Caenorhabditis elegans: one gene and its partners. The protein of the gene in region 1 interacts with the protein of each later gene in a pairwise test. Each region holds a gene or a part of one and is shown in the gene's direction. Other genes may lie near its edges. The genes, in order: syp-3, syp-4 and gras-1.

Region 1 (3,686 bases):
GAATGAAGAAAGTTGAAGAATTCCCAGGCAACGAGTTGTGTCAGAAGAGATAATCTGAAGATTTTTTAATTGAACAGAAACTATTGTTTTTCAATTTTTGACAGTGAATTGACTCCAGATAATTCCAACGTTTAGATGAATTTTTTATCACTATAACTTTTAAACACACCTTTCCGACTTTATTTTTCTTCTCGTCCAGAACTTCTGCTCCAATTTTGACTTGACCTTCACATTCAAATGGTAAGATTCGTCGACGGATAACACCTGTCAAAATTTAATTTTTCAAAATCAAATTGAACTAGTTTTGTGGGTTTTACAAAAATTTAATTGACAAGTTACTAAATAAAAAGGAAAGTGAGATTTCACGTCTCCAAATATCTAAATTTAGTTGAAGTAACCTGTATGAGCAGTTCTTGCAGTTAATTCCTGTCCAACATAACATCCTTTATCAAGTGAAACCATATTGAGCAGATCACCGTTTGCCTTAAAAAATAATATTTGAAAATGAACTTTTAGAAATATTTCATTTAAATTGCTTCTGTTGTATTTTTACCTGAAAAGGAAGCAACTCCGCCAATTCTTGAGATCCTTCTGCAATTCCAGCAGATCGTCGCAAATTTTCATATTTTTCTCGATTTTCGCTAACTTCCGATGAAGACGGATTACCGAAAACGCGAGCTCCAAAACCAGAAAATCGAGGATCGCGGTGAGCTAAAATAAAATGTTATTAAAGTTTTGACGTTCATTTTCTACCTTGTTTGTCCGATACATCTTCTGTGAAAAATATTTGATCGGAAGATTCGGTGATTTCAACTTGTTTCCTCAATCGATATTTCAAGATTTCTTTTGTTAAAATAGTTTTATTTTCTTTAGAACATTCCAAGAACAAATCATCAGTTCCTCGTCTCCATAGAAGAACATCTTCAACAATTCTCCCTTTTGTGTTGAGCAAAAAAGCAGCAAGTCCATTTTGAGTTTGAAGTTTTCTGCAAAATAAGATGTAATCATTTTCGCTGTAATTTTTAGAGTATAAAAACATACGTCACATCATTTGTAATTAAACCTTGAAGAAACGCGTTTGTGTCAGAGCCATGAAGTTTCAAAAGAACTCTATGAGGCAATTTAATTAATCTTTGTGTTGACATCTGTAAAAAAGTTTGATAATCACAAGAAAACATATTAAAATATGTTAGAGTAAATTTCGCAACGGGGATGATCATATGGCCGTGCCGAATAATTTCGTCCGCGGCCGCAAGTAGAGCGAGGAAATTTGAAAAAGAAAACAAGCGCTTGGATTAGCAGCAAACTATTTAGGATGAAGCACCAAGTACGTCGCATTGAAAGCTGGGAATAATTATAATTTGCCTAAGCTTGGGACAAACTACACTCAAAATAAAAAAACTGCGTGGCGTGTACTGCAGAAAACCTCATATTTAGGCCCCGCCTTTTTCTCGTCCACTCACGGAGTGGAGGCAAAAATTTGGGGACCAACCAATATCATGCCGCCGACATCCTACGGGTTCCGCGCGCCGCTATGTTTAACTCGCAGCGGGCGGAGACAGCTCGCCACGCCCACAGCGAGTTAATCCTAGCGGCGCGCGGAACCCGTAGGATGTCGGCGGCCTGATATTGGTTGGTCCCCAAATTTTTGCCTTTTGTCCGTGAGTGGACGAGAAAAAGGCGGGGCCTAAAAATGAGGTTTTCTGCAGTACAGGCCACGCAGTTTTTTTATTTTGAGTGTAGGTTGTTGCTTAAATTTAATAAAATTAATTTGAATTAAAAATTGTCGAAGCGAATACATATTTAAAAAATGAATATTTTGTGTGTTTAATGAGTGAATAAAAATAAAACTGTTCATGAAAACATACGGTTTAAAGGCTCACGTTGTTCTTAAGTCATGTGGGTCTCGCAACGATCGCAAACACGCTACGGTTTTTTGTTAATTTTAAATATTTTTATTTTCTATTGTGAATTGGCCATTTCAATATCTCCAATTTCAGAGATAAATGAATTTCGAAAAGCTTGTCAGTCAGGCAGTAAATGGTGACCGATTCAAAATTTTCTGCGGGCAGCTCACTGAGTTCACCAACTCGCTCGCTGGGGAAAGAGGTATGTTTTGAGGCAAACATCAATGAAATATGAATTTAAAAATACATTTTCAGAGGCCATAGAAAAAGGAATGAGGCAAATCGAAACTCAACAGCTTGAAGGTTTGACAGATTGAAAAAGGCTCAACTTTAAAATTTTCTTCAGCCGAAACTTCATTCACCGAGCGAATTGCTGAAGACAGGGTTAAATGTGCTGCTCAACGAGAAAGTCTAGAAAGACAGCTTCAGGATTTGACAGCAACTGACAATAAACTGTCTGAACAGAAAAGAGACTGGGAAGAGAGACAAGAAAAAGCCTATGATGAACTAATGTCTTATTTGGAAAACGAGGATGTGGACAGTGCGGGTACACAGTTCGGAGATCACTTCAATTCATTAATTAAATCGATGAACAACTTGGTAAGTCTGCTCGATAACTTTATAATTTTTAAAAAGAGTGGGTTTCTGAATGTTATATTTTCAGTCACATGATTCGATGAATGGTCAATTCAATTCACTCAAAAACAATCTGGATGAATTAAACATTGAAAGTAAGTTGAAAAAAAATTTTGATGGTATTATCAACTAAACTTGCAGAGAAACAACTAGAAGTCGCCATCGCTGATCAATCATCGACTATTTCTGAAATGATTCCTTCTCTCCGTCCAACATGTGGAGCGACCTACAAAGAGCGCAACACTCTTCGCATTATTTTCCATTATCAAGTTGCCAAACTGCGCAGTGAGTACCAAAAATGTCGTCTACAAGAAGAAGCTCTGAAAGCCCGACTTTCTACATGAATTAAAAGAATCAGAACAGCCAAAATGTGGGCAACTGTTAATCGAACTGTAATGATATTAAAAATTGAATAATCTTTTTTCAAATCGTTCTGTTATCCTAAACTTTCATCATGTCGAATGCTTATCATGTAATATTTAATTTTATTGCATCAACCGTTGTGAAGTTTTAATAAATTATAGTCCTGGATTTCTCGGCCTTCTTGAATTATTGGCCCGAGCGATAGCTTCCGCAAATGTTTTCGGAGGTCCTTCCGGCCAATTGTCCAAGTCCATATCCATAAAATCGCATGTATTCGTTCGAAATACAACTCCAGGCGGTAGAGGGTCTTCTTGAAGTTGTGAAATGGGTGTTCCTTGGATAGTAGATTGAGTCCTAAAGTAAGATGTTCCTATTAATTAAAATTCACAATTTTGGGAATATGAATAACTTTCCCTTTTTCGAAAGTCGTGCTTCAATAATGAGACTAACTTACTTTTCTACTGTGTGGTCCTCTTCTGATCGTTTTCCTGCATTTTCCAAAGATGCCAGCTCAATGATAGAATACTTTTTAGTACACGGCGTAATCGTTTTAAAGTGAAAATGACTGAGAAATTTAAGAATTTCACTTCTTGAAGAGTGGTCGGAATATGGAATTCTAATGATTCCCTCGTCGTCGTTGACACCATTTCCAAACGTATAATAGAGCATCGATATGTCGATTATCACCGAATTTTGAGATATTTCACAACTAAAATAAAGGATTATTTGATGTGTTTAAAAATGGAAAGCCGTACTAGCTTCCTTTTTTGATAACTTTAA
Region 2 (4,882 bases), 1.8 Mb from region 1:
ATTCGATTATTTGACAGTAGCTCTACACCATCGTCAACTAAACTGTACAAATACTGAAATTTTATGAATCAAAAATTCCCCCAAACACCTAGAGACGAAGGTACTTCTTTTTCACAAAATTACGAGATATAACCATTTCTAGCAATCGTGATTTCGTGAATCCGTGAAATTTGGCTGAGACTGAGATCGTGGTGGGACCCACTTTAAAAAATCATATATCCTGTGTCCTTAAAGTGATTTCACGAGACTACTTACGATATTAAATATAACTCTTTTTCCAAAATACAATAAAAGAAAAACTAACCACATGTTCACTTTCTCTTTGATTTTCTCGATTCAACATTTTTCTTGGACGCCTTCTTCGAAATGATTTTATTTTTCTTTTCTGGTCTCACACTATTAGACCTTTTGGAAGGCGATTTCAATGGATTTCTCGTAGATTTTGCTGATTTTTTAGAAAGCGTTTTTGGTGGTTTTATTGTAGAAATCAACTTTTTCGTTGAGATTTTTGCTGATTTCTTATCCCCCGGAGACAATGGATCAGCCAAATAATTTCGTGAAATCTTTTTTGTGGGTTTTTCCTTTGAAGGAGATGTTGGTGGAAGAGAATAATATGATTTTGGATTATCATTTGATGGCTTTACAGCAGTGGAATATGTTGATTTTCCAGTATCCACATAAACTGAACGAACGTCATCAGAATTTCGTTTCTCATGTGGTGGATCCTCCACCTTGTCATCGTATTTCTTGTAATTTCGGTAGCTGTTGCTTTTTTCTACAGGCATTGATCTGGCTGACTTATGTGAATTTTCACGTCTTCTCTTTTCATCCCTATAACTACTTCTTCTGGATTCTCCATCTCTATCTCTATCTCTATCACCTCCTCTTCCAAAATCACGTCTACTTGGAGATTTCTCCATTTTATGAGCCGATACATTATTTTTCTTGCTCCGAGAGCTATCTCTTTTGTCCCTAGAACTGCCACGTTTACTTCCAGAACTGTGTCTCTTCTTCCGTTTGCTCCGTGAGCTTTTCATACTCTTCTGTCTTGATTTTTTCTTTTTAGAACCTTCTTTCCTGTCAGATCCATTATTGTGATCATTTCCATCTTCCTTATAATTTTCCTTTTCATCTTCATTATCACCCTTCTTTTCTCTCTTAGATTTTTTAGATTTCTTCGATTTCATTGATTTCTTTGACTTTGAACCTTTTCGTCGGAACATCTCACGATGCCCGGTAGTACATCCAAGCACCATCGTTGCACTAGTTAAAGTGGCAGTCACCATAAGACATACTGTAAAAGTTGCTTCAAAAGCTGAATCAATGAGTAAACCTACGGTAATTCACATTCTCGGCCATTTGTTCTGGCGATGAACTCATTTTGTGAACAAAATAGAAATAAAGATGTTTTGATCAAATGAAAAGGCTATGCAAACGACACATCCAGTTCGAGACGTTTAATTTTGATAAATTTATATTAGCGTCTTTTCCATCCTTCAGTGAACTTTCAAATCTCCCAAATATCGTAAAAGAACATCGGCTAGGTGTTACATATAGACCCACTTTTCAGGGCCGCGCGCACGCAGCCCCGATACGCAAAAATTAAGCTGTTGGCGAATCTCAACTCGAGACTGCCACACAGGTCAGCCCGCACCAAAAGTGCAATGGGTAGGCCTAACCATGGGGATTCCGCCTTTGTGATCGCGAAATAACCCCCAGCCAGGTAAGTTTATGAGCCTGCGGGTGGAGGGAGTAGTGCGATAGGGTGTCCCGACATTTTGCGGTCTCCGCTACTCACTGTGTTTAGTGTATATGAGGCGGATTTTGACGTGATGGCAATTTGCGTATTTTACATTTAAGTTTACGAGCAATTGCAGGTACAGTAACCTTTGATGTGCAGGCACGAAAAAAATCTCCATTCAAAAGTTTGTTGCTTTTAGGAGAAAACTGAACTTTTCTGTTTCTTTGTTCGGTACGGTAACCTCATTTTTCATCAAAATTTTTTATTTCAAGGCGAAATAATGTCGTTTCCGACGCTACAAGTACGTCCAAATGAGAAAAATCCAAAAGTTCTGCGATGCCATGAGGTATTTTTAATCTACAGACAATCAGTTGTAATCCTCTTCTTTCAGTTTCTTCGCCAATCAAATCAACTTGTGGAGCGAAACATGATCAACACGGAAGGAAGAAAAATGTTGGCAAAGTTGCTGACGAAAATGGTATCCGAAGGTAAGATTCCCGATGGTTCATCGTTTTCCACTATTTTATTATTTAGCCAAAGGAATCTATGCATTAGATGAGAGACGCGCCGAGTTGGCAAAAAGTGGGAAACTCCAGGAGAAGCTGAAATCAGCTTATCAAACATCGCTGACAGTAATGGAAGATCGTCTACACATTGCTGAGCTATCTCGGCAGGTTCAAGAAAAGAAGCTGACAGTTCAGCAGTAAGTTTGTTCACATTAAAAGTAACACAATGTCTATTTTGACTCGAGTAAACCATTCAATTTTTTAAAGGAAATATTACGAATGTGACGACCTACGAAAATCCGTGCAAGAGACGAACACCGAGGCTCGACGAGTCCAGGAAATCAACGAACAGCGGCTTGTGGACACAACCAGGGCCACTGAGGAGCTCATCGTGAAAAGTGCCTCAATTCTGAAAAATCTAGAAAATTCATCCGACGTACATAAGCTTCGTGCAATGGAAGAGGAGAAAAGAATTCTAGAAGAAGTAGTGGAGGGGCTCAGAGATCAGAAGAAGTGTCTTGCCGATGATATCCGTACCAAGAAAGCTACATGTAAGTTATGAAGCATCGAATACACTTAATTTTTTGTAATATATCAAATTTTCAGTGAAAGCCGAATCAAAGAAATCGTTCGAAAAGACGGTAATTGAGTGTGCGAAACACTATAAACTCCATCAATCCTTGATGCCGAAGTTAGACAAATCGAAAAGAAGTTTGGAAACATTGAAGGACGAGGAAGAGAATCGACGAATTTGTGGAAGTCTCAGTCTGGATGAAACAATGCAGTTTGATCGTTCTTTTATTCTCGCGTCGGTATGTAAAACTAAATTTTATAAAGCCTAATTGCCTTTTCAAACTGAAATAATATTTACAGATGGACAAAACAAATAAGCCAGAAAAGGCCGTACAACAGTTAACTTCGAAAAGTTCGGAAGTTTCGATCACTCCACAGATAAGCGAAACCGCGAAATCTTCCTTCTCCAAAGAGCCAATTCCGACACAGCATCCGATGGAAGTTGGCGAAGAACCTGTAATCGAACATTCAGCTGAAGAAAGCGTTCATATTGAACCACCAAATGTCACTGAAATAAGGGAGGTGGTACCACAAATTACCATTCAGCCTACTCGTCAAGACAGCGTCGTTCAACGGGATGCAGAAGAGTTAGACACTTCAGCAGTTCCAAGCCCCCAACCGGAATCAATCCTAGATGAGCCCGAAGAAGAAGAAGAAGAACTTAGCAATCATGAAAATCATGCCGATCAATCGATGGATGTAATGGAAGTAGATCAGGAAGTACCCGAGGAAAGTCCCATGGAAGTCGGTGAGCAAGAAGAAATTGAGCAACCATCTGTATTCAAGGACATTCTAGCCACGGAGCAGGCTGCACTCTCCCAGGAACAAGAACCAGAGATCGTTGAGAAGCAGGCAGACAATGATGTTCAGTTTGTTGATGGTAAGTGTTTTACTTGGCAATAAACATTGAGTTATTCATTTCGCAGATCAACAAGTGGGAGCACAACTAGATGTAGAAGACGAAGAAGAAGTGATGAGCGAAAACGGTTCCAACAAAAGCAATAACTTCTCTTTTAACTTTTTTGGGAATAGCAAGGGTACATCAGCGGGAGAAGGTGGCGGTGAAGGCAGTAAGTTATGAAACACGTGAAATTAAAAAAAACTCCATTTTTATAGACTTCGACTTTAATTTTGACGGAATTGGAGCAGGAGATGATGGTTCGAACAATGGTGGTTCTACTGGAGATCTGGATTTCCTTAACTATGACGGAGAGGATGAAGGAAAGGGTTCGGGAAACACTCAATCCGATCCGTTCGGATTTGCATCAAATGGTAACGCAGCTGGTGGAGGTGGAGATGGATCGTTCAACTTTAACTTTGACGGTGACGGTGAAGGCGGAGCAACTTCTGGAGCGGGCGGAAACAGCACCTCGTTCTTTAACTTTTAGAAAATTATCATGTATTATTCAGCTCTTGTATCATTTGTATCGTTTAATGTCAGAAATTTTAGATTTTATTGGACCAAGAAATTGCCTCTTTTTTTTCTTTTTGAACAGCAAAAATATACATAATATAAAGTATTGATCATCTCATTGCGTTTTATTCTTTTTCACTTTAATGCTTTAAATGTATAGCTATTTAAATAATATTTATTCTGAAACAAACTCAAGTTCGCTTATGTTCGCAAAATTTTTGCTCGTAAAATCAGCAGCATTCGACGCAATGAACGATGCTCCGGTATAACGCTAACGAGCTTTGTTTAGCCATTGGAATTTTATTCGAAAAACGAAAATTGTCCTGTCAAATTTAGTGATTTTCATGTTTTTTTCCTTCAATTCTTTCCCACCAATTTGAATATGAGACATTGCAGCAATCTCCCTTCTGATTATTCAATTTAAATTGTTGGTATACCATAGTTTATGTTTTTCCTGTTAACCTCAATGTTTATTATTAATTAAAAGAGGTTGTTATATGTTCAAAGTTACACTTAAAATTGTGATGAGACTAAGACGAATTGTTCTTTATTTTTCAACCTTTAATGTCGGCGGAAAACTTTTTAAAAGTAGTTTATTGCAGAGACTAACAGTAATAATGGCTGACGACGAGCTTGAGACCTATAGAT
Region 3 (3,601 bases), 830 kb from region 1:
TCTCTCTGGATCATTCCCTCTGCTAAGAAGGGATACGTTGCCTTGAACTTGGTGCGTACATTGCTCTCAAAGCTAAAAAATCGTGTTCTATTAAAATAATAATTCATTAGGACAACTCACTAAGCGTCTGTAACATTTTTCAGCTCTGTGTTATCCATATTGATAAGAATATCTGTCGCCAAATTGCAGTACTCTGTTTGGTTCATTTGTTGAAATGCTTGGACGGTAGACGAGGAAGATGTACCACCTTGTTGACCAGTTTCTGATGATTCCCATAGAGTACCCATTGAATTCGGAATGACACGAGAATTCTAAAAAATGAATTTAATTTAAATCCCATTTTCTTAATTTTTTTAAACCATTTGCTGTTGATCAAACTGATTTGATGTTCCTTGATTCATACTAAGTTCATTCAACTCTCGCCGGAGAAGTTCTTCCCTCTCTTGGGAACGTAGACGAGCAGTTAATTCAGTGAACATGTTAGGAAAAACCGTTTGACCCGGAAGATATGGAAGATCAATGTTTTCAATACTCTTTCCGCTGGCAATGAATGGTATTGTTTTATTTGGATCGATGACGTCATTGTTTTGAGAAATGTTAATAGCAGCATCATTTGACTCAGAAAGCCATGTACTTTGTTCAATTTGTTCTGCTGGAATCAATACACTTGGACGCTGCAACTAAAAAATTTTGAGAGAACTGCAAAGCTCTAATTTACCGGGAACTGATGACGCTGGACCATTTCAAAAACCCCATCGAGATCAGCGTTCAACTCGGAAGACGGAACTTCACCCTGATTGTTGGCTCCATGATGAATATTTAAGTTGTTCACTTCTCTTATAATTTCAGCTGGAGCTTCATCCACTTTAGGCTGAACTGAACCGAGTTTGCGTGTCTGTCAATAAAATTCATTAAACGGGAATTAAAAGTTAAAACCAACCAGGACAGGAATTGATTGAGATGAAAGACGACGTTGTGATGAAGCTGCCAAAGTGGAACTGGAAGGAACAAGCGCAGTATCTAAGGCTGGGACAGATTCGGAATTCGACAATTCTTGGATTGGGAGAAGCCTTTGTGTGAACGAGTTTCTCACTCCAGCAACTTGACTACTAGTGGGCACCTCTGACGATGTAAATGATTGAATTTCCTGTCGAAGAGATTGAGGTGGTACTTCACTTGAGCGAACCATGTTCTGGAAACATATTTTATCAATCAGAATATGAAAACAAAGTAAAACCGTTTGCGCGATTTGCTGAGGAACAGAAGTACTGGTTGGTAGAACTGCTTCACCAGAGAGTACAGGTGGAGGAAGCGGCTGGGATAAATCTGAAAATCGACTTGAAACTTAGGTCATTAAAAGTTTCCACAAACCTCTCTGATTACCAGCGAGATATCGCTGAGGATTCATACAGAAATTCCTCGTAAACTCATTTACTTGTGCTATATATTCAGCATAAGAATCATTCATCGCGAATGATCCTTATTTTGACAAAAATCAAGGGAATTTTCACAAAAGTAGGAAAAGTATTTAGGAACGAGTTTTCGAAAGCTGAAATTTCGAAAGCGTGTCATGTGTTTGCGTGTTTCAGTAAATACCGTAACCTTCATATATTTCAACAACAAATAAGAAAAGGTGCGCACGCGCTAGTCATTTGTTTGGTCTTTTAGTCGTTTATTTTTTTGCATGATGATTGTGTTTTAGTCACTTTTTACTTAAGTTTAATAATTTTATATGCTTTCTTCTAAAGTTATTACCGAATTTCCCATTATAAACTTTGCGCGTCGAATCTGGCGCTTGCGTACATGTTTCTCGTCTCTAGCTTTTCCTTTCATCTTCTCACCAATTTTACAACTTATCGACTTTGTTTCGAGTCTTGTGTTGTTTAAACATTTAAAAAACTCTAAAAACATGTTTTTTTGTTTAATATATGTTATTTCAGAGTTTCTGCTTTTATGGATCACATCGACGCTCATAGTGCGGTTTCCACGAGTTCGAGCTCTTCAAAATATGATACGCCGGATGACAATATTTCTGAACAGCGACTATTGTGTGACGCAAAAGTAATTATTTGATTCTCCATTGAAGAACAACCATAATATTCGTTACTACAGGAAGAATATCCACTGAATGATTATCTTTTCGATGGGATCAATCAAGAATCCGCACAACGGAGCCTTCTTCTATGTCGTCAAACATTTGAAACTTCCTTTGGCTTTGCTCTCCAATCATATGTATTCAAAAGAACATCTTCAAACAGTTACGAAAGAATAACTTATGTGGATTACGTGTCGGCTGATAGCCCAGCTGATCGCTGCGGGATAACACGAGGTATTCAATCATTTAATTCAGCTTTTCCTGCCAACTACTGCAATTTTAGGCGACATGGTCATTGCTGTCAATGAAAAAAGCGTCGTCACTGCCTCCCATGCAGAAATCGTCGAATCAATTGCTCAGTGTCTTCAAGTCAGTCTCGTTCTGGTCTTCAAAGATGTAGCAAGAATCGTGGAATTGAGCATGCGGTCGATTCAGTTACGATTCATGCTCGATGCAAAAATTAGAGAATTGAGGATGCTCGAAAAGACGGAAGAAGATTTGCAAGCATTATATGACGATGAACGTAAGTCGAGTTTACGGTTATTATTTTGATTATTTGTAACAATTTTAGATGGCAATGAGGAGGAAGACGAATCACTTGAAAGCACGCTTTACGAACTTGATGAGGAGCTAAAAAATGTACAAAATCCACAAGAAAAGGAAGCAAACGGCACTGATTATCGCCATCTCATTCGCATCAACAGTAGCACGTCTGTTGGAACTCCCCAAGTCACGCGTCTCTAGTAAAATCAATGTCTTTCATATTTTCACGTTTATCTCTGAACACTCATGGGTAAACATGTATACTCTAATTATATATTTCGATCCCTGGTACATAGTTGTACATATATGTATTTTAACTTCCTGTCTCCGCCCAAAATTTGCCATTTTATTCCCATTCCAGTCATTTTGATTCCCACAAACCTGTGATCATGGTTATGATTCTAGCCTGCCTGTTATACTATTAGTTTCAGGAAATAACATGAAGTTTTATCTACTATTCCTGACACAATTATTTCAATTATCCATGAGGTTCTGTGCCTTTTCTACTTTTTCGTTTGTTTTTCCTTGACAAAACTACTTTTTTTCAAACAGATGCACTCATTGTCAAGGATTCTTCTTCATCGCAGTAACAGTGTGCTCAATTCGCCTACTTTTCTTGTTGCTGTTAGGTAGACCTTTTCATCATTAAAACCTGTTTTATTCTGAGTATCCGTTAAATTCAATATTATCCCTCTAAAAAATGTGTTCTACTTCAGACAAACATCAGCCGGTCCACCTCCAGCCACTCCAGCTAAAGAAGGATCCTTGACCTACAAGTATGAACAATTTATTGGAAAATGGCCTAAAGTGTTGGCACTTCACAGGACTGTTCTTGAAGGTGAGGGAGTTCTCCGATTAACTTACTTACTTTTGAAATTCAAAAATGACATTTTCTGATCTTTTTTATTTTTATTCAGAGATCTTGACATGCTCTCTTAAAGTCGCACGGATTTATTCAGATGG

Evidence for each region.
Region 2: the proteins of syp-3 (region 1) and syp-4 interact in a two-hybrid assay, tested with the Caenorhabditis elegans proteins (one study listed by BioGRID).
Region 3: the proteins of syp-3 (region 1) and gras-1 interact in a two-hybrid assay, tested with the Caenorhabditis elegans proteins (2 studies listed by BioGRID).

What each region holds. Positions count from the first base shown.
Region 1 is NC_003279.8:8,662,435-8,666,120, reverse strand, and holds syp-3 (Synaptonemal complex protein 3), read left to right. Parts: upstream 1-2,000; 5' UTR 2,001-2,006; coding exon 2,007-2,109; intron 2,110-2,162; coding exon 2,163-2,210; intron 2,211-2,253; coding exon 2,254-2,507; intron 2,508-2,571; coding exon 2,572-2,638; intron 2,639-2,684; coding exon 2,685-2,887; 3' UTR 2,888-3,061; downstream 3,062-3,686. Other genes in the region: F39H2.3 (Aminomethyltransferase folate-binding domain-containing protein), read right to left, coding at 1-54, 170-264, 399-483, 554-711, 754-986, 1,042-1,145; mrt-1 (5' exonuclease Apollo), read right to left, coding at 3,062-3,260, 3,361-3,615, 3,662-3,686. UniProt on the Caenorhabditis elegans protein: Plays a role in early meiotic events; during prophase I contributes to synaptonemal complex (SC) assembly, synapsis and chiasmata formation and stabilization of homologous chromosomes pairing.
Region 2 is NC_003279.8:6,845,573-6,850,454, forward strand, and holds syp-4 (Synaptonemal complex protein 4), read left to right. Parts: upstream 1-1,938; 5' UTR 1,939-2,021; coding exon 2,022-2,087; intron 2,088-2,132; coding exon 2,133-2,229; intron 2,230-2,275; coding exon 2,276-2,444; intron 2,445-2,514; coding exon 2,515-2,798; intron 2,799-2,853; coding exon 2,854-3,059; intron 3,060-3,120; coding exon 3,121-3,700; intron 3,701-3,746; coding exon 3,747-3,890; intron 3,891-3,936; coding exon 3,937-4,208; 3' UTR 4,209-4,351; downstream 4,352-4,882. Other genes in the region: H27M09.5 (uncharacterized protein), read right to left, coding at 312-1,294, 1,338-1,380; rpb-5 (DNA-directed RNA polymerases I, II, and III subunit RPABC1), read left to right, coding at 4,852-4,882.
Region 3 is NC_003279.8:7,833,874-7,837,474, forward strand, and holds gras-1 (General receptor for phosphoinositides 1-associated scaffold protein 1 homolog), read left to right. Parts: upstream 1-1,934; 5' UTR 1,935-1,953; coding exon 1,954-2,061; intron 2,062-2,112; coding exon 2,113-2,329; intron 2,330-2,378; coding exon 2,379-2,618; intron 2,619-2,666; coding exon 2,667-2,839; 3' UTR 2,840-3,094; downstream 3,095-3,601. Other genes in the region: F30F8.1 (RING-type domain-containing protein), read right to left, coding at 1-72, 121-311, 360-674, 719-895, 941-1,192, 1,238-1,326, 1,372-1,468; F30F8.9 (Letm1 RBD domain-containing protein), read left to right, coding at 3,191-3,267, 3,355-3,476.